Anolis sagrei: one gene and its partners. The protein of the gene in region 3 purifies or fractionates together with the protein of the main gene of each other region. This does not show direct contact. Links are inferred from orthologs where the notes say so. Each region holds a gene or a part of one and is shown on either strand. Other genes may lie near its edges. The genes, in order: EXOSC2, EXOSC3, EXOSC10 and EXOSC1.

Region 1 (6,916 bases), on a different chromosome or scaffold from region 3:
TGACTATATCTCCCATCAGTCAGGTGGGAGATTCCCATTGCACGGGAGATGTAGTGCAGGTCCTATCTCAGGCATGGGTAAACTTGGACCTTCCAGGAGTTTTGAACTACAATGCCCACCATTCCTAACAGCCTTTCCCCCTCAGCTGCTTAAGCATTATAACAATATATCTATTGGGACCTGAAGGTAGGCCTCTCCTAGATCTATCACTCTTATCATCTACCTGAAAATAGGCATCTCTTAGATCTATCACTCTATCACTACCTGAAGGTAGGCATCTCTTAGATCTATGATTCTATCATCTAGCTTAAGCAGTTGAGCGGGAAAAGGAAAGGGCCTGAGGCTGTTAGGAATGGTGGGAGTTGAAGTTCAAAACACCTGGAGGGAAGGCCAAACTTGGCCCATGCCTAATCTATCTCTTTTCATGGCACCCTTCAAAGCAAATTAAATTGAATGCAAACAGATGGAACGATAGCGACAATATCCATTCGTATCAGGATCGGATGTACAGATGCATCGCGGACAGCTTCCAGAGAATGATGGTCACTTTATATACGTATGTAATAATAATAATTAGAGTCATAATAATGACAACACTTCCTGTGTTTACAGAGCTTTGTTATTCTATGAGATTGTATTGGCAAACCGTTCTTTGTACCTCTCTTTACCCTCTTGGACTCCAAATACTGTAATTAATTAATAAATATATATATTTACCTGCAAATTATTGCCCTGGGGCTTGAGACCTGGGTTCAAATCCCTGCTCGGCCATGCAAGTTGCACTCTCTTGGCCTCAAGGGAAGGCAGTGCCCTCCTTTGTCATTGCCAAAGGAGAGGCTGTGTGGTTATCCACCTGGAGGTTTTTTGTGGTGTCTCCCTTCCTGGAAAAATTGGGGTTGACTTGGATGACCTTTACAGGGGGGGGGGGGTCATTTCTGTGGCATAATGTAAAATGAACCATGTAAAGTTCACGTTTGATCAGCCCACACACTGCCTTGCCAGAGAAAGAAAATATGCCACGCAAGTGAACAGTAAAGAACAAGTAGTTTACTGTATTGTTGAAGGCTTTCATGGCTGGGATCACTGGGTTGTTGTAGGTTTTTCAGACTATATGGCAAATGTTCTAGAAGCATTCTCTCCTGACATTTCACCTGCATCTATGGCAAGCATCCTCAGAGGTTGTAAGGTCTCACCATAGATGCAGGCGAAACGTCAGGAGAGAATGCTTCTAGAACATGGCCATATAGCCCGAAAAACCTACAACAACCGAGTAGTTTACTCTTTGTAGTTCAGAACAACATATGTACAATGTTATCAGTTGCATCAACTCACATAACGTCCTTTTATGAGAGATTTAAAGTGGTCTTACTCTGTCCATGTGGAGAAACCTTCCTTAGCAGCTCGCGAAGCAAGAGCACACTCCAAACTGTCTTCTCTCTGCTTCTCTCTTCTTCCCTCTCTGCACTTGCATAGCTCAAGCCTAAACAAAAACGTAACAGTTTCCGAAAGTCCCAGGCTCAGCCTGCTTCCCAATCAGCTTCATGCATCATATTTTACAGTTGTCACACACACACACATGAACTGATTCCTTGCATACTCCAACAGTTTCTACCTTTATGATTCCATAATAGGTTTGCTTAGATGGAAATTAAATAGAATAATTTAATTAATTAATAAAATAATTAAATAATTAATTAAATAAATAAATTTATTCAAATTAAACTAACTAAATAAATTAAATAATTATATAAATGGGAATAAATTAAATAGAATAATTTATTAAATAATTTATTTAATTAATAATTTATTTAATTTAATAATTTATTTATTTACATTAAATTAAGTAGATGTAATAAGGATGCCTTTTATTCCATTTATAAATCATTGATAAAGATATCAAAGCCCAAAAATATAAACTTGTGAAGGGTTTGGTCAGTGGAGGAATTACATTCGGTAATAACGCAATTGAAACAGCACTACCTAGCCCATCATCCCCCAGCACGAATGCAAGAAGATGGCAGAGAAATGTCGACAACATCAACTTTCATAAGGTGCACCAACACTTTCATGGGATGCATCTACACTGTGGAATTGATGCAGTTTAGCACCGCTTTCATTTGCTATGGCATCCTGGGAGTTGTTGTGTTGCAAGTAGAGAATGATGGGATGCCAAGATTGAAGCTTCCATAGGGGGAAATGAGATGGAATAATCAACTCAGTCTCCTGCAACTCCAGCAATGGACACTTGAGGGCAGCAAAGGATTGCAGTTGGAAACCAAAGGGTTATTGCAAGTCTGCTCAATGGATTAAGGCTTGCAATAAGGATTGGCCATAGAAGGTCATTATGCATATGCAAATGCGAAAAAAAATAATCAGAGAAGAGTATCCAAAATAATTACTTATATATAGCATGGTCTTTGCAATAACAAAAACAATATGTATCTATAGAAGGAAGGAGGAATTCCCAAAGAATAACGTTGCTGTGAGTTTTCCGGGCTGTCGGGCCATGTTCCAGTAGCATTCTCTCCTGACGTTTCGCTCACATCTATGGCAGAGGTGGTGAGGTCTGTTGGAAACTAGGAAGATTGGGTTTATATACCTGTAGGATGATGTTCCGGGTGGGAGAAAGAACTCTTGTCTGCTTGAGGCAAGTGTGAATGTTGCAATTGGCCACTTTGATTAGCACTGAATGGCCTTGCAGCTTCAAAGCCTGGCTTCTTCCTGCCTGGGGGGAATCCTTGGAGGTTGTGAGGTCTGTTGGGAACGAGGAATTAATCAGGGGCCCTGATTAATTCTTGTCTGGAATTCAAGGTAATACCTCCCAACAAAGGATTTCCTCCAGGCAGGAAGCAGCCAGGCCTTGAAGCTGCAAGGCCACCCAATGCTAATCAAGGTGGCCAATGGCAACATTCACACCTGCTTCCAACAGACAAGAGTTAATAATAATAATAATAATAATAATAATAATTTAAAATAGATCATCTGGATAAAAAGGAAATGTTTAAGAAAGCATGCCAATATAATGCACATGTCATATATTATTTGTAAAATAATAATTCAAATATAGAATTGCATAATAATAATAATAAGTCGCCGATTTAGGCTGAAAAATGCGGTATAAAAATAAAGCAAATAAATAAATAAATAAATAATAATAATAATAATAATAATACATTTATTATGAATAAATTTGAAATAGATAATCTGGATAAAAAGGAAATATTTTTAAAAAGCATACCAATATAATATGTATGTCATATATTATATTATATATAAAATAATAATCCAAATATAGAATTGCAAAATAATAATAATAATAATAATAATACATTTATTATGAATAAATTTGAAATAAATAATCTAGATAAAAAGGAAGTTTTTTTTAAAAGCACGCCAATATAATGTGCATGCCATATAATATATTTTATATATTTTATATTATATATTTTATGTTATGCACATGTCATATTATATATATATAATATATATATATATAATGCGCATGTCATATATTTTATTTTATATATTTTATATTATATATAAAACAATAATCCAAATATAGAATTGCATATTTAATAATAATAATAATAATAATAATGCATTTGTTGTGAATCAATTTGAAATAAATCATCTGGATAGAAAGGAAATGTATAAAAAACACTCCAATATAATATATACAAGTAATATATTACATTATATAATAAATTTTATTTTATTTACTCATTTTATTTTATTTATATAATATATTTATATATGAAATCCTCCTTGCCCAACAGTCATGAATTTGGGAGTGTGGGTCTCACTCACCATCCTAGGCGTGCAATACGGGCAGGGACCGCCAGAGGGCGCCGAAGGGAGAGCCTTCCATAGAGTCCCGAGGCCTCTCCAGGCGGGACCGGAAGTCGAAGCCTTACCGGAAGCTTGGGTGCCCTCATCCAAGATGGCGGCGGCGGTGGAAGTGCGGCTGCCGGTGGCTCGGAAGCGCCTGGCGAAAGGCGACGGGGAAAGGGACTTGGTGGCCCCCGGAGACACCATCACCACCGACCCGGGATACATGAGGTGAGGAGGAGGAGGAGGGGGACTGCAACTCCCATCACTCCCAGGAAGGGCATAATGGGAGCTTCATCATCTCAGTGTTGTGTCTGGAAGAGGGCTACAAGTGATGCTTTTGGGAACCTCTGTTGACTGAGTGATGGGAGATGTAGTTCATTGTGTTTGGGGGGCAACAGAGGGGATAATGGGAGCTTCAGCTCAGTGTCGTGTCTAGAAGAGGGCTACAAGTGATACTTTTGGGAATCTGTATTGACTGAGTGATGGGATATGTAGTCCACTGTCTTTGAGAGTCTATAGAGGAGACAATGGGAACTTCAGCTCAGTGTCGTGTTCGGAAGAGGGCTATAAGTGATACTTTTGGGAGCTTCTGCTGACTGAGTGATGGGAGCTGTAGTCCACTGTGATTGGGGGGGAGATATAATGGGAACTTCAGTTCAGTGTGGTGTCTGGGAGAGGGATATAAGTGATACTTTGGGGAACCTCTGTTGATGGAGTGATGGGAGATGTAGTCTACTGTGTTTTGGAGAGATGATGGGAACTGCAGGTCAGTGTTGTGTTGGGAAGAGGGCTATAAGTGATACTTTTGGTAACTTCTGTTAACTGAGTGATGGGAGATGTAGTCCACTGTGTTTGGGGGGCCATAGAGGGGGAAATGGGAGCTTCAGTTCAGTGTCGTGACTAGAAGAGGGCTATAAGTGATACTTTTGGGAGCTTCTGCTGACTGAGTGATGGGAGATGTAGTCCACTGTCTTTGGGAGGCTATAGAGGGGATAATGGGAACTTCAGCTCACTAAGTCAATGATGGGAGATGTAGAGGATCCGTGTTAAGGAAGGAATGTCGTCAGGTGACTGTGGGAAGGAAGGAGATCATGGGAGCTTCAGTGTATTGGATGATGGGTGATGCAGTCTGCCATATGAAGTCTGCCATTATCAAAGTGACAGAATGGCCTTTTTCCATGGGTTCAATTTAATTCATTCTCCAAAAATATTATCTCTAAATATATCTATATATATATATATACCTAAAATACATGTAAATGTATATCTATATATCTAAATATATCTAATTATATCTGTTTATACCCCTTACCTCAAACAAAGTCTGCTCAAAATATGAGCATAAGGTGTATTATTAATATTATTATATTAATGAGAACTTTAAATCGTAGCCAGTGACGTATATTCTTTTATGTCCCTAAGGGGCCACGGGACGTATTTGGGGGACGAGAAGCTGATTGCCTCGGTGGCCGGCCTGGTGGAGCGGGTGAATAAGCTGGTCTGTGTCAAAGCCCTGAAAACCAGGTGAGCTCAGCCTATTGTGGTTATTATAATGACTATATTAATATTATTGTTGCCTATATTAACTAGTATTATAATAACTACTAGTTAATATAGGCAACAATAATATTAATATAGTCATTATATTGACTATATTAATATTATTGCGAGATACCTCTACAGCTGTGTTTATTTTGTTATGTGAATTTAATACAATCACAGAATCAAAGAGTTTGAGTCTATGCTCTGCTTAAAAACACCCAGAGAAGGAGTCACAAGGGCAATCTATTCCCTTGTGATCTACTCACATTTGCATGTTTTCAAACTGCTACGTTGGCAGAAGCTGGGGCTAACAGCGGGAGCTCACCCCGCTCCCTGGATTCAAACCTGTGACCTTTCAGTTAGCAAGTTTGGCAGGTCAGGAATTTAATCCACTGTAAGGAGGGGCAGATAATGAATTATTATTATTATTGTCGAAGGCTTTCATGGCCGGAATCACTGGGTTGTTGTAGGTTTTTTCGGGCTATATGGCCATGGTCTAGAGGCATTCTCTCCTGACGTTTCACTTGCATCTATGGCAAGCATCCTCAGAGGTAGTGAGGTGAGGATGCTTGCCATAGATGCATGCAAAACGTCAGGAGAGAATGCCTCTAGACCATGGCCATATAGCCCGAAAAAACCTACAACAACCTATTATTATTATTATTATTATTATTATTACTATTCTTCTACTACTACTACTAAAGGGGTCTTACAGGCTGCAATTCTTTTGCCAGGTGAGTGAAATGCAACCCACTTTCATTAGACATCCAGGAAGTTCCAGAAAATAGATTTTTTAAAAAAATAACATCTATTTAATATGCATTGCATTCTGTCACCATACATATTAAATAAGGAATATTGGGGTGGCTGTCTCAAATATTGTGGACCTCATATCACTGTCTAAGAAAACGACAATGCTGCAAATAAGAGTGACGAGCTGCAAGGAGGCAAGGTAATAAATTTATGATGTGATGATTAATTATTTTGTTCTGTTCTTCAGGTATAACGGTGAAGTCGGAGACATTGTGGTAGGGCGCATCACTGAGGTAAACAAGCCAAACTTCTGGCTTTTGCATCTTGAATACATCCAAAGCTTTCCTTAGGTAAAAGTTTCCCCTTGACATTAAGTCAAGTCAAGTCCGATTCTGGGGGAGGTGCTCATCTCAGTTCCTAAACCAAAGAGCCAGCGTTATCCATAGACACCTCCAAGGTCATGGGGCCACTGATAGAACTGCAAGGAGCGCTTTTACCTTCCTGCCAAAGCAGTGCCTATTGATCTACTCACATTTGCATGTTTTTGAACTGCTAGGTTGGCAGAAGCTAGAGCTAACGACGGGAGTTCACCCCATCTCACGTATTCAAACTGCCAACTGTCCAGTCAGAAAGTTCTGCAGCTTAGCGGTTTAACGCATTGCACCACCGCAGCCCTTTCCTTAACGTTATCATTATTATTATTATTATTATTTTCCTTAACATTGTTATTATTATTTATATCCCACTTTCTTTCACTATAAAAGAAACACCAATTATTATTGTTATTTTC
Region 2 (7,452 bases), on a different chromosome or scaffold from region 3:
CTTCCATCCAGGAAAACTACAACCAAAGTATCCCTGACAGATGGTCACCCAGCCTGTTTAAAAGCTTTCAAGGAAGGAGCTTCCACCACAATCCAAGGCAGAGAGTTCCACTGCTGAACAGCTTGTAAGGGCAGGGTTGTAAATTCTTCCTAATGTTCAGGTGGGATCTCCATTCCTGTAATTGAACCCTTTATTCTGAATCCTAGTTTCCAGGGCAGCAGAAAACATGCCTGCTCCCTCTTCCTTATGGCATCCTTTCATATATTTATACATAGTGATCATGTCTCCTCTCAACCTTCTCTTCTGTAAGCAAAACATGCTCAGTACTTTAAGACGCTCCTTATAGGCCTGGTCTCCAGAATTTTGATCATTTTAGATGTCCTCCTCTGGACACCTTCCAGTTTGTCATTATCTCTTTTGAACAGTATTCCAGGTGAGGGCTGACCATAGCAGAACACAAAGGCTTCCCTTGATCTAGACACTATACACCTTTTTGATGCAGTCCAAAATCCCATTGGTTTTTGTAGCTGTTTCACCACACTGCTGGCTCATGTTCAACTGGTTGTCCATGAAGACTCCAAGATCATTCTCACATGGACTGTTGTCAAGCCAGGCATCCCCCATCCTGTCATCTGTGGATTTCTGCTTAAATGTAGTATCTTACATTTGTTCTTGTCAAAATTCTTTTTGTTAGTTTTGGCCAATCTGCGCTCTAATCTGTTGAATCATTTTGGATTCTGATCCTGTCACTGGAGCATTAGCTATCTCTTCTAATTTGGTTTCATCCGCAAATTTGATAAGCATGCCCTCTAAACTTTCATCCAAGTCATTAATAAAAATATTGAACAGTACTGGGCCCCGGACAGAACCCTGTGGCACCCCACTAGTCACTTCTTTCCAGGATGAAGAGGAACCATTGGTGAGCCATCTTCACAGGTGCAACTTGTGGGGTTGAAAGAGAGGGACTTTTCTGTAGTGGCCCCTTGACTCTGGAACTCACTCCCCAAAGATATTAGGAACCCCTCCCCCATTGGCAGTCTTTAGGAGCTTGAAAACTTGCTTGTTCCAATGTGCCTTCCCTGAATGAAAGATGAATAATTCCCTGATCTGACCAATTCTCTGCAAAATATCCTCTGTAGCACTTTATTCTACCTGTTGGGGCAATCACCCCTACCCTACCCTCTAAAACACCTGTTCAGACTAATTTCACTGTTGTCACATCCAGTGTTTAAAATTTTTAATCTAGTTGAATTGGCCCTGTCCAGTGTTGGATCCTTGTGTTTTTAAATGTTGTTTTATTGCTGATATGTTATTTATAATGGTTTTGTATTGTATTGTATTTTTTGTTTTATTTTATTGCTGTGTTGGTTTATACTGATGTGATGTATTGTCGGGCTTGGCCTCATGTAAGCTGTCCCGAGTCCCCTTGGGAAGATGGTGGCGGGGTATAAATAAAGTTTTATTATAATAATTATTATTTTGTTCATTCAGTTGTTTCCGACACTTCGTGACTTCATAAACCAGCCCATGCCAGAGCTCCTTGTCGGCCGTCACCACCCCAGCTGCTTCAAGGTCAATCCAGTCACTTCAAGGATACCATCCATCCATCTTGCCCTTGATTGGCCCCTCTTCCCTTTTCCTTCCATTTTCCCCAGCATAATTGACTTTCCTTTCTTCACATGATGTGGCCAAAGCTTTCCTTTCTTCACATGATGTGGCCAAAGTACTTCATCTTGGCCTCTACTATCTTTCCCTCCAATGAGCAGTCAGGCTTTATTTCTTGAAGTATGGACTGGTTGGATCTTCTCACTGTCCAAGGCACTCTCAGAACTTTCCTCCAGCACCAGAGTTTGTCATTGCTCTCCTCCCAAGAAGTAAGCGTCTCCTGATTCCCTGGCTGCAGTCTGCGTCTGCAACCAGGGAATCATCTTTGCACCTAGAAATACGAAGTTTGTCACTGCCTTCATGTTTTCTCCCTCTATTTCCCAGTTGTCAATCATTCTTGTTGCTATAATATTGGTTTTTTTGATGTTTAGCTGCAACTCAGCTTTTGTGCTTTCTTCTTTCACCTTGATTAGAAGACTCCTCAGCTCCTCCTCGCTTTTGGCCATCAAAGTGGTGTCATCTGCATATCTAAGGTTGTTAATGTTTCTTCCAGCAATTTTCACCCCAGCCTTGTACTCCTCAAGCCCCACACATCACATGATGTGTTCTGCATACAAGTTGAATAGGTTGGGGGAGAGTATACAACCCTGTCATACGCCTTTCCCAATCTTGAACCAGTCTGTTGTTCCATGGTCAGTTCTTACTGCTGCGACTTTGTCCTTATACAGATTCCTCAGGAGAGAGACAGGGTGGCTTGGCATCCCCATACCACCAGGAACTCGCCACAATTTAGTATGATTCACACAGTCAAAGGCTTTAGAATAGTCAATAAAACAGAAATAGATGTTTTTCTGAAACTCCCTGCCTTATTATTATTTAGTACCAATTATAGATCCACCTCATTGTAGCATTGCTTAGGCCACATATGATTAATTTGTTTGCAAACTATATAACCTACAGCACTTGGTATAACGTTATATATAAACAAAATCCTTCTGTCAGTTTACTTGAGCAACTCTTAGACAGCGCTCCACTCCCATAGGGTACATATAAGAAGTGCTCAAGCGCGCATGCGCAGTCTGGCCCTCGCGCTTCCTTACCCGCCTCTGCTGAGAGTCTACCCAATAAACGCCTCCAGAGCCACTTCCGGGGCCGCGGTAGCGTAGTAGGCCGCATTTCGTAACCAGCAGGCCTTCTCCACCGCGCCTCAGGCCCGGCCCGCACACCAGCTTCCCCTTCTGAGGCCCGTTGGCCGACAGGCGTAGCCGCTCGCTGTCCGCCTCTGCGTGGCCCGGCAGGAGCAGCGCCTCCCCCGGCAGCACTACTCGCCCGACCCGCTCCTGGGCCTCGCAGGCGCCGACGTCCGCCATGACTGCGCGAGCGGCCGTTGAGGTCTCGCGGGATCCGTTTGCGCATGCGTAGCTCAGAACCCTCTGTCTCCACTGGTCTCCTTGGAACTGGCGACGTTCACAAAGAGCGACGGACAAAAGTTTGGAATGCTGGCAGTTGGAGGCCTCCGTTTGTCGTTGGCTGCAGCCAGGCCTTTTGACAAGGAGTACCAGGCGTCCCTTTTCCGAGACTCTCTTGCCTTGTAATCTGAATACACAGCAGATTCCCAAACTCTGCACCTCCAGGTGTTTTGGACTTCAATTCCTAGAAGCCTCAGCTGCCTTGGCCAATGATCAGGGATTATGGGAACTGAAGTCCCAACCTGGAAGGCCAGTTTCTGGAACACTAGGTTTGTTAGGTTCTTGTAGGTTTTTTCGGGCTATAGGGCCATGTTCTAGAGGCATTTCTCCTGACGTTTCGCCTGCATCTATGGCAAGCATCCTCAGAGGTAGTGAGGTCTGTTGGAAATAGGACAATGGGTTTATATATCTGTGGAATGGCTGGGGTGGGGCAAAGAGCTCTCTGCTGAAGCTAGGTGTGAATGTTTCAGCTGACCACCTTCATTAGCATTTGAAGGCCTGGCTGAGCCTGGGGAAATGTTCTGTTGAGAGGTGTTAAGATGTGCCTGGTTGTTTCCTCTCTGCTGTTTTGTTGTTGTAATTTTAGAGTTTTTTTTAATACTGGTAGCCAGATTTTGTTCATTTTCATGGTCTCCTTTCTGTTGAAATTGTCCACATGCTTGTGGATTTCAATGGCTTCTCTGTGTAGTCTGACATGGTGGTTGTTGGAGTGGTCCAGCATTTCTGTGTTCTCATTTCTGTGTTGTCAGACTACATAGAGAAATGCCTCTAGAACATGGCCCTATAGCCCGAAAAAACCTACAAGAACCTAGTGATTCCAGCCATGAAAGCCTTCGACAATACTAGGTTTGTTATTCACGAAATATTTCATTTTAAATGTTTGTGGAAGTCTGCAACTATGGTTTTAAAAAATCACTCCAGTTTTGAGTTGGATCAACTGTGCTATTTATATTTATTTATTTAGGTAAAGGTAAAGGTAGTCCCCTGACATTAAGTCCAGTCATGTCTGACTCTGGGGTGTGGTGCTCATCTCCATTTCTAAGCCAAAGAGCCAGCGTTGTCCATAGGCACCTCCAAGGTCATGTGGCCGGCATGCCTGCATGGAGCGCCGTTACCTTCCCGCCGGAGCGGTACCTATTGATCTACTCACATTTGCATGTTTTCGAACTGCTAGGTTGGCAGAAGCTAGGGTTGACAGCGGAAGCTCACGCCGCTCCCCGGAATTGAACCTGCGACCTTTCGAACAACAAGCTCAGCAGCTCAGTGCTTTAACCCACTGTGCCACCGGGGGCCTCCATTTATTTATTTATTTACTTTATTTGTATACCGCCCCTCTCAGCCTTGCGGTGACAAGGCAATGCCACAGAGTACAAATACAATTTAAGACATTAACGTCAATAAAATCATAACAACAACAATACAAAAGTAAATCAGTAAATCCTCAATAAAAACATTGTCCAATTACATCGTATAGTTGTTCCGTTTTCCTATGTCCATTACTCAATATTTGCAAATGCTTTTATCCCACTTTTCTCCCGTGGGTGGGATTCAAAGCAACGTACAGTGTTAAAAACCAATAAAAAATTACAAACAAAAAATTCAACAGAAACATAAACTAAATAAACAAATCGCACATTTCATAACCCATATAAAACAAATTAATAATTTACAACATTTATTTATTTATTTTATTTCCAACATTTCTACCCTGCCCTTCTCAACCCCCAAGGGGGTGCTCAGAGTGGCTTACGCTAGCAACACTGGCAACAATTCAATGCCATGACATGCAGAGAGATACAACAAATATAGCAACAATTTAAAAACAATAAAAAGCGTAAGTTAAAACAATTTAAAATGTTATTATTGAACCACATAGCCACTTCCAATCCAGTTCTACATCCAAAGTGTTATCATGCCTATCCAAAGACCTGGTGCCAGAAATATGATTTCAGTTTCTTCCTAATAAAAGAAAGGAGAGACGAGGCCGACCTTATCTCACTGGGGAGCGAGTTCCACAGATGATGGGTCACCACCAAGAAGGCCCTGTCCCTTGTCCCTGCCAAACGCTTTTGCAAAGCTGACGGGGCTGAGAGCAGGGCCTTCCCAAATGATCTCAAACTATGAGGTGGAATGTAGAGGGAGATACATTCCGACAAGTAAGCTGGGCCGGAACTGTATAGGGCTTAATAGGCCAAGACCAGCACTTTGAATTGTGCTCGGAAATGGACTGGTGGCCAATGGAGCTGACACAGCAGGGCGGGGTGGTGGTGGTATGCTCCCTGTATGACGCTCCGGTGAGTAATGGACTAGCTGGAGTTTCCGAACAGTCTTCAAAGGCAATCCTACATAGAGTGTGTTGCAGTAATCTACTTGGGATATAACCAGAGCATGGAACACTGTGGCCAGATCAGACTTCCCAAGTATACTAACATATACCATTAAAATTCCCTAAACCTCCGGCCACTGAGGATATCTTAGTTGTGCTAAGATCCTAGAAACTCCCTTTTCTTTAGACAGTATAAAAACATTGCTTAGTCCTTTTTGGCCTAACCCCTATGATGTTTGTTTTGCTGCCTGTTCAGGAGATGTCGCCTCTCTGTCTCTGATAATTGGATTTTGAACAAAAATTGGCTTGTTGTGGACACAAAGATTGGTGAGAAAGCCTCAGTGGAGACACCTTTACTCTATGATCACTGTTCCAGGAGTGATGTTTTCTTCCAAGAGGTTGATTTCTCTCACTACCTGTTGTCTCACTCCCAGCCTTAACTATTTATAACTGAGTTATTTGTAAGTTGAATGCATGTAATTCAGGGATTGTCTGTACAGTGTGATTCCTCTTATCGACGGATTCAGTGCCCACAATCTCAACCCCTCAGAAGTGTTTGTGAATCTGTCTAAGTCCTCCAGCACAATCTTAACTACATCAGTGGTCCATGGACCACCAGTGGTTCCAAAGAACAAAAATATGATCCATGGCATCACCGTTAATACACCATTGCAACAAGAGTGACTGGCCTCACACAACCCTCTTATAGTGCCGAGGCAACGGGGATGTCAGGGGCAAATATGGGAAACATAAGCTTTGTATAAAACATCACAGTGTTTTATTTACTAAGCCCAAATATAAAAGTTGATTGAACACATTCTTGTGTGACTTCTCATATAGAATTTCTCCTCAGCATCTCACAATGAATGTGTGAAATAGAACAAAAAGACATGAAGTGTCAGGTTTCCCCAATTGGTTGCTGAATCTCTTCCTATACTGTCTTCCTTTTTGGTATGGAACATCAACCAAGGCAATTTTGCTTGTTTTTCTCTATCTGGCAAAGGCATAGAACTAGTTAACACGTATTTGGAAAGTCACGATAAATCTTTTTATATTTGTCTTGGGAACTAGAACAGTTTGGTTCATACTGTTTTGTGCCAAAGTACATACCTGCTCACTATTTTAAAAGATGTTTGACAGTGAACCTGGTAGCCAAAATCAGAGAAGTTGATACAACGGCGCATTCTACTACTAGCCCATCTTGATGCGCTCTACTTGACTGTCAGTGGCTCTCTAAAAGTGTCTGACCAAGCTTTCATCCCACCAACTGGACAGCCTTGGTATCTTTTCCTTTTCTCTCCTGCTTTTGCAGATGAGAGAACCTCTTCTTCCAAGAAAGTTGATCGACCTACACATCATCCCATTATTGAAGTAACACCTTTATTGCCATTAGTAGAAATTGGGCATTTCAGCATATGTAATACATACAACTGCCATGTGTAGATGGCTCATTTTTACAATGTACATAAACTATTTCCTGTCAAACATTTTTACAGTTTTTTGTAAACACGAATGTTTAACTTACACTGTTTTCATTTAGCTGGAATGAGATAAGCAAAGGGCAAGAGTATTTTGCTCTTGGCTTATTAAGCAGTGGTGACACCATCTGGCTGACAGTAGAAACACACAAAAAACTCAATCGACAAGAGTTTTGTGTAAGTTATAATTTCCCCTAAGTTGATAAAGCCTCTGCTTGTTTGATGGTTTGAGTGCTGAACTATGACACTGGGGGACTACAATGTCAATCCTTCCTCAGCCACAGAAGCCAACTAGGTGATTTTGGGAAAGTCATATTATCTCGGCCTCAGAGGAAGAAAAAGGCAAATCGCCTCTGAACATCTGGTTTCCTTAGGGTCAAACTAAGTCAAAGATAACTTGAAAGCATGCAACAACAGCAACAACTTATGGATCACTAAGCATGTTGGAAGAAACCTTCAAATAGTCTCCAGAATATTCAAATGTTGTTGTTGTTCATTCGTTCAGTCGTCTCCGACTCTTCGTGACCTCATGGACCAGCCCACGCCAGAGCTCCCTGTCGGCCGTCACCACCCC
Region 3 (7,599 bases):
AGGAGGACAGATGGCCACAACTGCTCCCGGAAGCCCTGTCCTTCCGCCATAGCCAGGCCCCTTTCTGACCCTCGTTCGGTCACCTTCTGGCAGCGGCTTCATGGCGTTGGGTTTGACGAAGAGTTTGGGGACGAAGGGGGTGTTGGAGTTGTCCACTTTCTCCCGGAACCTGAGCTGCGGGCGCAGGATGTTCCTGGCGTGGAGAAGGCGGAAGGTTTCGGGCCGGGACCGCTTGCTAGCCTCGCTGCTCTGCTGGGAGGAGACATGGGCGTTAGCACAACATCACTCCCACATAATATGTAAACAGAAGGAAGAGGAGGTTCACCTTGCGGTTCCAGCTGGAAACGATGGTCTTGGGAGGCTGCAAACCCAAAGGCAGGACCGGCTGCTGGTTCTTGTTCACGCCGGCCGCTTCATCCAAGAGCGTGCCCTGCAATTATGAAGCCATACAGTCGGAAGGGACCCCCAAAGGCCATCCAGTCCAGCCCCCTCCTGCCACCCAAGCCCTCCAACTTATACAGGGCGATCGCACTCACCACGCGCTCCAAAATGGCGTCGTTGGCATCCACCAGCAGGTCGAACTTGTCCTCCAGCTCCGTCACGGTGCTCCGGTCCCGGAGGTGACTTCGGCAGCCGTGATACTGCATCACTTTGCTCATGCTGGGAAATGGTACAGAATACAGCTTCGTAAGAGTCATGTCTACATATTGGGAAGAAGGTCCTAAGGAGGAGGAAGCAGGTTTGCTTTCTCCAGGATTCCAATTTTCTATAGCCTTATGAAGCTTCCAATGTCTGAGAGGCTGGATAGCCATCTGTCAGGAGGGCTTGGAAGGTGCCCCCTGCCTGGCAGAAGAATAGGGTTGGACTGGATGGCCTTTGGAGGTCCCTTCCAACATTCGATGCAAGACTCACCATTGGAGAAGCCGGTCTCCTTGCGTCTCACAATAGGCCTGGAAGCCAGGAAAGCTGCGGTAGAAGTCGTACTCGTCTCCCGGCTGTGGGAGGCCATTGGAGGCCTTGGTGACAGAGACCACAGAGCCCAGGGCATGCTGGGAAGCAAGGGCAGGACAACCGTCAGGAAAGGAAGCCTTGGGAACTCAAGGTAGATAGTTCAGCCTACAATTATCTATCTATCCAGTTCCACCTCTATCTATCAATTTCTACCTCTATCTATTTATCTATCTATCTATCAACTTCTACCTCTATCTATCTATCAATTTCAGCCTCTATCTATCTATCTATCCAGTTCTACCTCTATCTATCTATCAATTTCTACATCTATCTATCTATCCATTTCAGCCTCTATCTATCTATCCATTTCTACCTCTATCTATCCAGTTCTACCTCTATCTATCTATCTATCTATCTATCAATTTCTACATCTATCTATCCAGTTCTACCTCTATCTATCAATCAATTTCTACCTCTATCTATCTATCTATCTATCCATTTCTACATCTATCTATCCAGTTCTACCTCTATCTATCTATCAATGTCTACCTCTATCTGTGTGTATATATGGAAAATAAATTATAAATTATATATATATATATATATATATATATATGACAAAAATATGAATAAAATGGGAAAATTACATTATATATAAGTATATAGCATATGTATGGTGGAAATTAGGGTATAATATATAGACATTGGAAAAATAAATTATATATATATATATATATATATATATATATATATGAGGGAAAAACGTATAAAATGAGAATAATTATATAAACCATATGTATGTATATATATGGAAAATAAATGATAAATTATTAAATATATATATATGAGGAAAATATGTATAAAATGGGAAAATACATTATATATACATACATATATGCATGGTGGAAATTAGAGTATAATATATAGAAATGGGAAAAATAATATATATATTATTTACTTTATTTATATACCGTTTTTCTCAGCCCTCAGATGGCTATATGTATATATATGAGGGGGAAATTGTATAAAATGGGAATAATTATATAAACAATGTGTGTGTGTGTGTGTGTGTGTGTGTATGCAAAATTATTAAATTATTAAATATATTTATGAGGAAAATATGATTACAATGGGAAAATTACATTATATATAGGTATATATGTATGGTGGAAATTAGAGTATGATATATATAAATGGGAACAATAAACTATATATATACATATGGAAAAATTTGTATAAAATGGGAATAATTATATAAACTGTGTGTGTGTGTATGGAAAATAAATTATAAATTATTAAAAATATAAAAATAAAAAGGAAATGTTCATTTTTCAGACCTACACCTCCCAGAATCCTCCTCTCCAAATGGGGGAAAAATAAATGAATGTAAAATATAATTATTTATATCACACACTCAATATAAAACTAACTGATGGATACGTATTATATTAAGATCATAATATAATTCTCTATGGGGAAAATAAGTTAAGACAAATTAAAATAAATATATTAGAATGCATATAAAATTAATAAGCAGAGATTACACTAACACAATATAATTACTGTATATTTAATATATTTAATTTGAAATAAATCAATATAAAATAACAAAAATAACAAAATTTTATTTCAATTCAATATTAAAATAAAAAGATTCCCTTTGAGGGGTAAAACCCAAGCCCAGCAGACATAAAAAGGAAATAATAGGTAGGAAAAGGTCCTTTTGGAGGACTACACTTCCCAGAATCCTTTAAGTGAGGCCTAAGATTCATGAATTGGGCATTCTTCCCTGAAAACTACAATTCCCGGCATGCTTAGCGCGCGCATGCGCTCTCCCGCTGGGGCCTTCTCCTCCCTCAAAACTACCTTCACGAAGGCATCTGCGTCCCCAAATCCGGGCAGGACGAAGCCTTCGCGGTCGGTTTCCATTGCCGTCGCCTCGTCGGGGCCGCTCAATCCTTCCTTCGCCGCCATTTGCCGCTTTTTCTCAGCGAGCGCCGCTTCCTTCTCTCACACAGCCGCCATCTTGGAAAAGAAAGCATACTCCCGCTGAATCTCGCGAAATTTCCCAGAGACGCATTTGATTGGTGTTTCCCTAATGCCGATCTTCTTTATTCTTTCCTTTGATTGGTCTATTCCCAGAAGCCCCTCCCTCGCGCTGAGCGGAGGCGGAGAAGGAAAGGTTGTCTTCGTGGTGGGCAGGAACCAACGCCCGTCACTCACCCTAGCCGCGCCTTCCTATTGGTCTGTTTAGTATTTCGAAGAAGCTGATTGGCTAGTCAAAAGAACGGGGTGGCAAAAGGCGAAGATGAGACTGAGGAGAGAGGTGAGTCGAAAAAAGGTAATTTTTGGGAAGTAAAGAGGACATTTTGGGGGGCAATTCCCCTTCAGAAGGTTTCCCTCAACGAAGGGGAATGTCCACCACGGAATTTACCTCACAATTTACCTCAGAACAGCAAGAATATCCTTTGTGAGGTGAGTGATCATGAGAGCAGGGATAATAATAATGTTAATTACTATTAGATAACAATAATATAATAGTAATTAACAACAATAGCAGGTCTAACATGGCCACGAATATTAATAATGATAATAAAAATAGTTATAATAGTATTAATAACACTAATAAAATGGCTGATAGGGAAGAGGATAATAACAACAACAACAATAATAAAGATAATAATGTAATGAGGGCAATAGCAATAGGGTAATAATAATAATGTAATGGCAATAGCAGTAGGATAATGATAATAATAATAATGTAATAAGGACAATAGCAGTACAATAATAATGTAATAATAATAGCAGTACAATAATAATAATAGTAAGGTAATAACAATAGCAGTAGGATAATGATGATGATAATAATAATAATAAGAAGAAGAACTAGTAGGATAATAATGTAATTACAATAGCAGTAAGTAATAATAATAATATAATAATAGCAGTAGGGTTATAATAATAATAAGGTAATAATAGCAGTAGGATAATGATGATAATAATGATGTAATTACAATAGCAGCAGGGTAATAATAATGTAATAAGAACAATAGTAGGATGATAATAATAATGTAATAAGAATAGCAGTAGGATAATAATAATAATGATAGCAGTAGAGGAATAATAAGAATAATGTAATAAGAATAGCAGTACAATAGTAATAATAGTAAGGTAATAACAATAGCAGTAGGATAATGATGATGATGATAATAATAATAAGAAGAAGAAATAGTAGGATAATAATGTAATTACAATAGCAGTAGGTAATAAGAATAATGTAATAAGAATAGCAGTACAATAATAATAATAGTAAGGTAATAACAATAGCAGTAGGATAATGATGATGATTATAATAATAATAATAAGAAGAAATAGTAGGATAATAATGTAATTACAATAGCAGTAGGTAATAAGAATAATGTAATAAGAATAGCAGTACAATAGTAATAATAGTAAGGTAATAACAATAGCAGTAGGATAATGATGATGATGATGATGATGATAAGAAGAAGAAGAAATAGTAGGATAATAATGTAACTACAATAGCAGTAGGTAATAAGAATAATGTAATAAGAATAGCAGTACAATAGTAATAATAGTAAGGTAATAACAATAGCAGTAGGATAATGATGGTGATGATGATGATGATAAGAAGAAGAAGAAGAAGAAATAGTAGGATAATAATGTAATTACAATAGCAGTAGGTAATAAGAATAATGTAATAATAATAGCAGTAAGGTTATAATAATAATAAGGTAGTAATAGCAGTAGGATAATGATGATGATAATAATAATGTAATTACAATAGCAGCAGGGTAGTAATAATAATAATAATCATATAAGAACAATAGTAGGATGATAATAATAATGTAATAATAGCAGTAGGATAATATTAATAATAGCTGTAGAGGAATAATAATAATAATGTAATAAGAACAATAGTAGGATGATGATAATAATAATGTAATTACAATAGCAGTAGGATAATAATAAGAATAATAATAATAATAATAGCAGCAGTAGAGGAATAATAATAATAATAATAATGTAATAAGAACAATAGTAGGATGATAATAATGTAATAATAATAGCAGTAGGGTAATAATAATGTAATAATAATAGCAGTAGAGGAATAATAATAACAATAATAATAATAATAATGTAATAACAATAGCAGTAGGCTGATGATGATGATGATGATGATAATAATAATGTAAGCAGAAAAATAGCAGTAGAGTAATAATAATGTAATAAGAACAATAGCAGGATAGTAATAATAATAGCAGTAGGGTAATAATAATGGAATAATAGCAGTAGCGTAATAAAGATGATAACAATGTAATAAGAACAATAGCAGGATGATAATAATAATAATAATGGAATAACAATAACAGTAGAGTAATAATAATAATGTAATAATAGTAGGATAATAATATTAATATAATAACAATAGCAGTAGTATAATAATGTAATAATAGCAAGAGGGGAATAATAATGTAATAAGAAAAAATAGGATAATAATAATAATTAAATAACAATAGCAGTAGGATAATAATAATGTAATAATAACAGTAGGATAATGATGATAATAGTAATAATGTAATAAGAAAAATAGCAGTAGGATAATAATTAATTGCAATAGTAGTAGGGTAATAATAATAATAGTAATAATGTAATAAGAACAATAGCAGTAGGATAATAATAATAATAATAATAATAATAATAATAGCAGCAGTAATGACACTGCTGCCAAGGATGATGATGATGATGATAATAATAATAATAATAAAGATAATACTAATAATGTAATAAGAACAATAGCAGGAGACTAATAATAATATTAATAACACTGCTGCCTACTCGGATCTGCACGCATTATTCGCCGATACATCACATAGTCCTAGACATTTGGAAAGTGTCCAATGTGTGATCGAATACAAAAGCCAGCAGAATTATCTTGTTTGTTGTGTACCAGTCCTGTTGTGCATCAAATAATCATAATAATAATATTGATAATAATAGCAAGCCTGCTGCCGAGGATGGCGGCACTTGCTGTGTTACGTTGCGGCCTTTTTCTTCCTTTGGCTTTTTCAGAATGGTTTCCTTCTGTTTCCAGGACCCTAAAGAACCCCATAGATTCTGATCCACCACCGCCACCATGTCGGGGACCGTCATTATCCTCCAGCAGTTTGCCACCGGCCTCAAGAGCAGGAATGAAGAAACCCGGGCAAAAGCGGCCAAAGACCTGCAGCATTATGTGACCATGGAGCTCCGAGAGGTGAGAGAGAGGGGGGGGGGGCTCCGGGAATGCGGGGCTTTGAATTCAGGAGCCCAAAGGACGGAAACACGCATCCTCTTTGTGTCCGAGCAGTGCCCATGAGACTGAACTTTTTCTTCCTCTTTTCCTTTGGTGTAGATGAGCCAAGAGGAATCCACTCGTTTTTATGACCAGCTGAATCACCACATCTTTGAGTTGGTCTCTAGTTCAGATGCAAATGAGAGGAAAGGAGGCATTCTGGCTATAGGTGAGTACCTGGGTCTTCACTCTAAATCAGTGGTCTGTAGTTTAGTTAGGCTTGTCAGCCTATGACAAGTTCACAGGAAGCAGTTATAATATGATAATCTTACGTCAGTAACTGTTGGAAAGGCTGATCTGCCAGGTAGCTTGAGAAGTGCTGGTATAAAGCAAAGTAATAAAGATTCTGCACAATCTCCTTGGCCATTATGTCATGAATGACTTTTCAATAACTTTGAAACGTTGGTTCTTTTTATTGCAGATTACATAAAAACATTTAGACAAAGAATGACATTGGACATACAGATTCTATGCAACTACATTGGATTCACAATTACATTGGTTAACAAACAAACAAAGGAGAATTACATTTTCACTCAACATTTACACACATGTACACGCATTCATCCACATGCATTCAAATATTACTATATCCTTTTCTCCCTCCTTGGAGAAGCACCTGTTAGGCCAGACCCTGATTTCCTGCAGCCTGCCAACGCATAGTTCCAAAACTTCCATAACGCCATAACTTCAGAACGCTGAAATGCCAAAACTTCTTCCCTAAGAACAATGCCAAGGACCAGATATCTGTTTTCCATACAGCAGAACCTGACTCCCTGCACAAAATCCAAGACTCCAAAAGCGCACTTCTTCCTCTTCCTTTGAGAAAGAAGCCCCAAAGTAACCAGACTGCTCCCGTGCAGATCTGCCACTATCTGAATACAACATCTCTCTCCTTCCCATGGAGCAGAGCATGGAGGGTGAACAGCGTCTCTGTCTACCACAATTTGAGCATTATTAGGCCGAGTCTTTTATAGAAATATTCTGTTGATGTAGTCCTAAAGTTGTAAATTAAATAGACGTCTTCCATCCTGGATCCATCTCAGTTTCCTGGTCAGATGTTGACTCTTCTGGATTGGTGTTGACAAACAAAAGGCTTGTGTTGACTTCCTTCTTAACATAAGGAATGTTGCAAACATTTCTGTTATCACTGTCCCAATTCTTATCAGAGCTTACTCTTCAGATCTCATTAACAGGTTTTAATCACAAAGCAGCAAGCAGGTAGTTAGTGATCGCAGGCATTAATATTATACTGGTGTTTCCAAAATTATTAACTCCAACCACAAATCCTT
Region 4 (6,850 bases), on a different chromosome or scaffold from region 3:
CAGTACCTATTGATCTACTCACATTTGCATGGTTTCAAACTGCTATGTTGGCAGAAGCTGAAACTAACAGAAGGAACTCACCCTGCTCCCCAAATAAATTTTAGTTTTATCCCGACTTTCTCCCAACATAGGGACTCAAAGCAATTAACAGCAAACATGACACAGTACAATTAGAACAGGACAAATGCATTAATTAAAATAGGAATATAAAAACTATAAATGCAATCAAATCCTTATATCACGGAACATAACAAATATTAAAATACATTTAAAACTACACAGCTCCCCAAAAATCTCATTCAGCAGCCTGCAGGTCCTTCCACACAACCATATAACCCAGAATATCAAGCCAAAAAGTCCACAATATCTGCTTTGAACTGGATTATCTGAGTCTACATTGTCATATAATCCAGCTCAGTGTGAATTTTATACAGCTGTGTGGAAGGGGGCCTGCCTCTCGTCGATTCCACAAATGTACAATGGAAGAGGAAAGGTTTTACCTGCTTATGAAAGGCAAGCAATGATGGTGTCACTGGGGGCCCTTCCACACAGCTGAGTAAAATCCCACATTTTCTGCTTTGAACTGGAATATATGGCAATGGGAACTCAGGGCCCTTCCACACAGCCCTATATCCCAGAATATCAAGGCAGGAAATCCCACATCATCTGAGTGTGGACTCAGAGAACCCAGTTCAAAGCAGATATTGTGGAACTTTTTGCCTGCATCTTCTGGGATATAGAGCTGTGTGGAAAGGCCCTTAGATAACCCAGTAGATATTGTGGGATTTTCTGCCTTGATATTTTGGGATATAGGCTGTACAGAAGGGCCCTAGGTGTCTCTAGGGAGGGAGTTCAAGAGTCTGGGAGCAGTGCCTTTACATTGTTTCAATTGGCATTGTTTTGTATTTGTTGTTAGCTGGCTTGAGTTCTTCTATTGCAGGCATGGGCAAACTTCGGTCCTCCAGGAGCTTTGGACTTCAACTCCCACAATTCCTAACAGCCTACTAGCTGTTAGGAATTATGGAAGTTGGACTTCAAAATGTGTTGGGGGGGCATCGTTTGCCCATGCCCGCTATATTGGGAAAAAGGTGGGATAATAAAATAAACAAATAAAAATAAAGTAAATAAACAAAGACTGGGTGATAAAAGACCTGGCTTCAACTTGCAGGAAAAGTTATTCCACCTGAACATGAGGAAGAACTTTCTGACTGTGAGAACTGTCCAGCAGTGGAACTCTCTGCCCCGGAATGTGGTGGAGGCTCCTTCTTTGGAGGCTTTTAAACAGAGGCTGGATGGGCATCTGTCGGGGGTGATTTAAATGCGATTTTCCTACTTCTTGGCAGGGGGTTGGACTGGATGGCCCACGAGCTCTCTTCCAATTCTATGATTCTAAGCAGAGGGTGGCTGGCCATGTGTTGGGAGTGCTTTGATTGTGTGCTCCTTCATGGCAAAATGGGGTTAGAGACTCAATGGCCTTTTGTGGTCTCTTGCAATCCTATAGATTCTTTTCTATGGCTGTAAGACCTTCCCCCGTACAGTGAGCCTGTCTCTGGTGGAATCATAGCATACTGTCTATATGTGGCACATTAATATCCACTCTCACAGACAGATAGAGAGGCATTGTCTTCCCAGTTGCTCCCAGAGGTCATCCCCTCCCTTTCGGCCAGCTGGGCAGAGCTGGCAAGGTTCCTGGGCACAGATTACCAGTGACTTTTGAAGCCCCTTTGCCAGATGGCAGCATCAGCGTCACAGGGGGAGATTATCACCACTGAGATGCTCCCAGGGAGCAGGGGATGCGTGGGAGGCTTAATGGGTTCCTTGCAAGCAGAGGAGGAATGCCCTCCATGCCATCAGAGCCTCATCCCTTCTGAAGGGGAAACAGGACAACTCCAGTCATCACCCCCTTGAAACAGTCTACACTGTAGAGTTAACGCAGTTTGACACCACTTTAACTGCGTGGCTCAATGCTATTGGAATCCTGGGATTTGCAGGCAGGTAAAGCAGCAGCACTCTTTGTCACAGAGCTAGCATTGAGCCAGGGCAGTTAAAGTATCAAACCTCAATATCTATAGAAATAAAAATGTAATGTTCGTTTGTGGGATTAACATAACCCAAAAACCACTGGACGAATTGACACCAAATTTGGACACAAGACACCTAACAACCCAATGTATGTCCTTCACTCAAAAAATGGATTTTGTCATTTGGGAGTTGTAGTTGCTGGGATTTATAGTTCACCTACAATCACAGAGCATTCTGAACCCCACCAATGATAGAATTGAACCAAACTTGGCACACAGAACTCCCATGACCAACAGAAAATACTGAAAGGGTTTGGTGGGCAGTGTCCTTTGGTTTTGGAGTTGTAGTTCACCTACATCCAGAGATCACTGTGGACTCAAACAATGATGGATCTGGACCAAACTCTACACGAACACTCCATATGCCCAAATGTGAACACTGGTGGAGTTTGGGGAAAATAGAATCTTGACATTTGGGAGTTGTAGTTCCTGGGATTTATAGTTCACCTACAATCTCAGAGCATTTTGAACCCCACCAACGATAGATTTGGGCCAGACCTCCCACACAGAACCCTCATGTGGGCCACAGCAACGCGTGGCAGGGGATGGGTAGTCTATATAAATAAAAATGTAATGTTCGTTTGTGGGATTAACAGAACTCAAAAACCACTGGATGAATTGACACCAAATTTGGACACAATATACCAGGCATGGGCAAACTTGGGCCCTCCAGGTGTTTTGGACTTCAACTCCCACAATTCCTAACAGCCTACCGGCTGTTAGGAATTGTGGGAGTTGAAGTCCAAAACACCTGGAAGGCCCAAGTTTGCCCATGCCTGCAATATACGTATCAGGCCAATGAGTGACCATCACTCATAAAAACACTAAAAAACACAACAGAAGAGACTAAAAAAGCAAAAAATAGAAAATAAAAATACGTTACTTCCATGCGCAAAACCATATATATGTGTGTGTTTGTGTATATATGTCTGTCTGCTTATATATATATATATATATATATATATATGCAGACAGACATATATAAACACATACACAAATATATACACACACATAAAACTCATATACACAGACTGGGCCACATCAACGCGTGGCAAGGGATGTTTAGTTATATATAAATAAATACCCCCTTGGAGCAATCTACACTGTAGAATTAACACAGTTTGACACCACTTTAACTGCCCTGGCTCAATGCTATTGGAATCCAGGGGTTTGTAGTTAGATGAAGTACCAGCACTCTTTGGCAGAGAGCTAGCACTGAGCCAGGGCAGTTAAAGCGGTATCAAACCGCATTTATTCTACAGTGTAGCTGCACAAACCGGAGGAAGAAAATACTGCACATCCATTCATAAAACCTCTTAGAAGCTGGAGGTTAATATGGGGAAAGCCAGGTCATTATGAAGGGAAGGAAGGAAGAGAAATCATCACAGCCTCCTCTTTGTGATTGAAAGGGTGGAGGGATGCCAAAGGCTTAGCTATGGAAGACGAGCTCCAAAATAACAATGGAGAGGAACAAAGGAGACTCTCTCCTTTAGGGTTCAAAGCATGCAACACAACGAGGCCAAGGCACGGAGCTTACCTGTTCCTGCCATCCTCAGCCCCAGACGCTTCCCGGTTCCTGCCTCACCTGAGCATCTTCTCTCCCACCCTCCCTTTAACAGCCCCGTCCGCGCATGCACGCTGCATGTCCCGAATGGAACTACGATTCCCGTCATGCCCCGCGCGGCGCCTAATACTCTTCCTCCGACATTTTTTCTCTCTCTCTCTCCCGGACGTCTCCCAAACCGGGGCGAAGCAGTCACGTGACCACGAGAGTAGCCAATGGGAGGCTCGGAGGCCTGGCTGTGGAGAGAGCCTTTCTGTCATGGCGCCCGCGCGGTTTTGCGTCCCTGGTGGGTGACCCAGAATGGGGAATGGATTGGATTGGCGGAGTCTTCGAAACGTGGGAGGGGGCCTCAGTTTATGGAGACATCGTGGGAGAGAAGAGAGCCTTCTGGAAATTGTAACTTCTATGTTTTGGCTGTTGAAAAGGCCAGTGCCATTCTAGGCCGCATCAATAGGAGTATAATGTCTGTATCAGGATCCAAAATGGCTTTTGAACAGGTTAGAGTCGGCATAGGCAAACTTAGGCCCTCCAGGTGTTTGGGACTTCAACTCCCACCATTCCTAACAGCCTCAGGCCCCTTCCTTTTCCCCCTCAGCCGCTTAAGCAGCTGAGGGGGAAAAGGAAGGGGTCTGAGGCTGTTAGGAATGGTGGGAGTTGAAGTCCCAAACACCTGGAGGGCCCAAGTTTGCCCATGCCTGGATTAGAGAGATGGGCCAAAACTAGAAAGAATTCCATCAGGGAGAAATGTAAGGTTTTTACACCTGGGCAATAAACATGAAATGCTTTAGGATGGGTGACAACTGGTTTGAAAACATGTGAAAGGCATCTAAAAGTCTTAGTCGACCACACGCTGAATGTGAGTCAATAGTGAGATGCAGCAACTAAAACAGTCAATGCGATTCTAGGCTGCATCAATAAGAGGATTTATTTATTTATTTATTTGGGGTGCTTCTACCCCGCCCTTCTCAACCCCCTAGGGGGGACTCAGGGTGGCTTACAAAAGGCACAATTCGATGCCTAACAATTACAACATACAATACCATATACAATACACAAATTTACCACATAATATCACAGTTATAACTAATTAAAACCATCAGACAGTATACTAGCAACAATAAAAACATCTTGTGGTCAGTGTTCACCAAATCCAAGTCCGTAAACAATTTAGCATTGTCATTGTCCTTTCCTACTCTGGTCATTCTTGGTTGTCTTTTTCCATCTGCCAGCTTACCCGAAGGCCAGGTCCCACATCCAGGTTTTTAGCTTCTTCCTGAGGGAGAGGAGGGATGTTGATGTCCTAATTTCCCCGGGGAGTGCATTCCACAGGTGAGGGGCCACCACCGAGAAGGCCCTGTCTCTCATCCCCACCAGTCTCGCTTGTGATAACGGTGGGGCCAAGAGCAGGGCCCCCTCAGCAGATCTTAAACTCCAGGGTGGGACGTAGAAGGAGATACATTCGGACAGGTACGCTGGGCCGGAGCCGTAAAGGGTATCAGAATCCAAAATGGTGTAGAGATCAAGGGAAGTCCTAGCCCCCCCCCCCCTCTATTCTGCTTTAGTCAGACCTCACTTGGAATAATAATCCAAGTAATAATAATTGAAAAGAGATATTGACAAGCTGGAAGGTTCTGGCCCAGCCTACCTGTCTGAACATATCTCCCTCTATGAACCACCTCGGAGGTTAAGATCTTCTAGGGCTGAGACTTCCACCTTGGTCCATATATCAAACGGAGAATGTATTGGGAATCTCACATCAGAACAACATACTTTATGTGTGACCAAGACCCAAAAATTACATATAAAACAGCTCTGTACTTAAGCAAAACAATACGTCTGAGAACCACATATGTAGGGCTGATTGGGGGTAAATTGTAGGGGTGATAATGAAATATGATGTATATACTCATCTTGATAAGTTTATCAGTTTTATCACGTCTTATATTTATTTACAGTGTTGTTATAAGTGTCGTATTTTAACTTACTAAGTGGAGTGTGATAAGGTCTTTTCAGTCCTTGTTGTTTTCTTTCTTATTGTGATATGGCCTAAGGGCTAATCAATAACATTACTTACTTACTTCTAGGGCAGTGGTTCTCAACCTGTGGGTCCCCAGGTGCTTTGGCCTACAACTCCCAGAAATCCCAACCAGTTTACCACTGTTCTAGGGAGACCCTGCTCTCGGTCCCACCTTCGTCACAGGTGCGGCTGGTGGGAACGAGAGACAGGGCCTTCTCAGTGATGGCTCGGCTGTGGAACTCACTTCCCAGGGCCCTTCCAGATAGGCCCTTTATCCCAGGATCAGATCCCAAGTTTTCTGCTTTAAACTGGATTATGAGTCCACACTGCCAGATAACCTAGGATAAACAGATAATCTGGGATCATATCCTGGGATGAAGGGGCAGTGGGGAAGGGGCCCCAGTGAAATCAGATCAGCTCCCTCCCTCCGGACCTTTAGAAAGAAACTAAAAACCTGGCTATGGGACCAAGCTTTCGGAGAAGTCAGTGCAATAGGCAGCTGTGAAGTAATTGCAACACAATTGGAATGCCTTCTGGATTATGACTTCGGATCTTATGTGGTTTTTAATAGATATTCTATTATTTTTAAAATTTGTATTGATTTTAGTGTAGGTGTATATTGTATTTGTATATATTTGTAATTACTGCCAGTTTGGAAGCTGCTCTGAGTCCCCTTTCAGGGTGAGAAAGAGCAGGGTAAAAATACAGTAAATAAATAAATAAGGCGTCCACAGAGAAGGGCTACCAAAGTGAGCAAAGGTTTGGAAACCGAGTCCTATGAGGAGCCACTAAGGAATGTGAGTGTGTTTAGCTTGGGGAAAAGAAGGCTGAGAGGACATGAGAACCATGTGTAAATATTTGAAAAGATGTCACATTGAGGAGGAGAAAAGTTTTTTCTGCTGCTCTAAAGATTAGGACATGGAGCAGTAGATTCAAACTGCAGGAGAAAAAGAGTCCACCTAAACATTCAGAAGAATTTCCTGATGGTCAGAGCTGTACGGTTGTGGAATATATTCTGATAGTCTCCTTCTCTGGAGGTTTTAAAGCAGAGGCTGGATGGCCATCCCTTGGGGGTGCTTTCATTGTGTTTTCTTGCATGTCAGGGGGATGGATTGGATGGCCCTTTAGGTCTCTTCCATCTCTGTGATTCTACAATTCATGGGTCCAGTCCCAGAGATTTTGTTGGGA

Evidence for each region.
Region 1: the proteins of EXOSC10 (region 3) and EXOSC2 fractionate together in Homo sapiens (co-fractionation; 9 studies listed by BioGRID and IntAct, with this or other methods). This does not show direct contact. The link is inferred for Anolis sagrei from reciprocal best matches to the Homo sapiens genes EXOSC10 and EXOSC2.
Region 2: the proteins of EXOSC10 (region 3) and EXOSC3 purify together in Homo sapiens (affinity purification with mass spectrometry; 8 studies listed by BioGRID and IntAct, counting the BioPlex papers as one, with this or other methods). This does not show direct contact. The link is inferred for Anolis sagrei from reciprocal best matches to the Homo sapiens genes EXOSC10 and EXOSC3.
Region 4: the proteins of EXOSC10 (region 3) and EXOSC1 purify together in Homo sapiens (co-immunoprecipitation; 8 studies listed by BioGRID and IntAct, counting the BioPlex papers as one, with this or other methods). This does not show direct contact. The link is inferred for Anolis sagrei from reciprocal best matches to the Homo sapiens genes EXOSC10 and EXOSC1.

The regions. Positions count from the first base shown.
Region 1 is NC_090031.1:2,833,493-2,840,408, reverse strand, and holds the start of EXOSC2 (exosome complex component RRP4), read left to right. Parts: upstream 1-3,909; 5' UTR 3,910-3,940; coding exon 3,941-4,059; intron 4,060-5,253; coding exon 5,254-5,355; intron 5,356-6,373; coding exon 6,374-6,419; intron 6,420-6,916. UniProt on the Homo sapiens protein: Non-catalytic component of the RNA exosome complex which has 3'->5' exoribonuclease activity and participates in a multitude of cellular RNA processing and degradation events.
Region 2 is NC_090023.1:155,253,459-155,260,910, reverse strand, and holds the start of EXOSC3 (exosome complex component RRP40), read right to left. Parts: upstream 3,020-7,452; 5' UTR 2,976-3,019; coding exon 2,706-2,975; intron 1-2,705. UniProt on the Homo sapiens protein: Non-catalytic component of the RNA exosome complex which has 3'->5' exoribonuclease activity and participates in a multitude of cellular RNA processing and degradation events.
Region 3 is NC_090033.1:7,031,145-7,038,743, forward strand, and holds the start of EXOSC10 (exosome complex component 10), read right to left. Parts: upstream 3,007-7,599; 5' UTR 2,926-3,006; coding exon 2,818-2,925; intron 1,050-2,817; coding exon 913-1,049; intron 661-912; coding exon 537-660; intron 431-536; coding exon 326-430; intron 253-325; coding exon 84-252; intron 1-83. Other genes in the region: serine/threonine-protein kinase mTOR, read left to right, coding at 6,110-6,229, 6,368-6,476. UniProt on the Homo sapiens protein: Catalytic component of the RNA exosome complex which has 3'->5' exoribonuclease activity and participates in a multitude of cellular RNA processing and degradation events.
Region 4 is NC_090023.1:217,772,364-217,779,213, reverse strand, and holds the start of EXOSC1 (exosome complex component CSL4), read left to right. Parts: upstream 1-3,829; 5' UTR 3,830-3,903; coding exon 3,904-3,931; intron 3,932-6,850. UniProt on the Homo sapiens protein: Non-catalytic component of the RNA exosome complex which has 3'->5' exoribonuclease activity and participates in a multitude of cellular RNA processing and degradation events.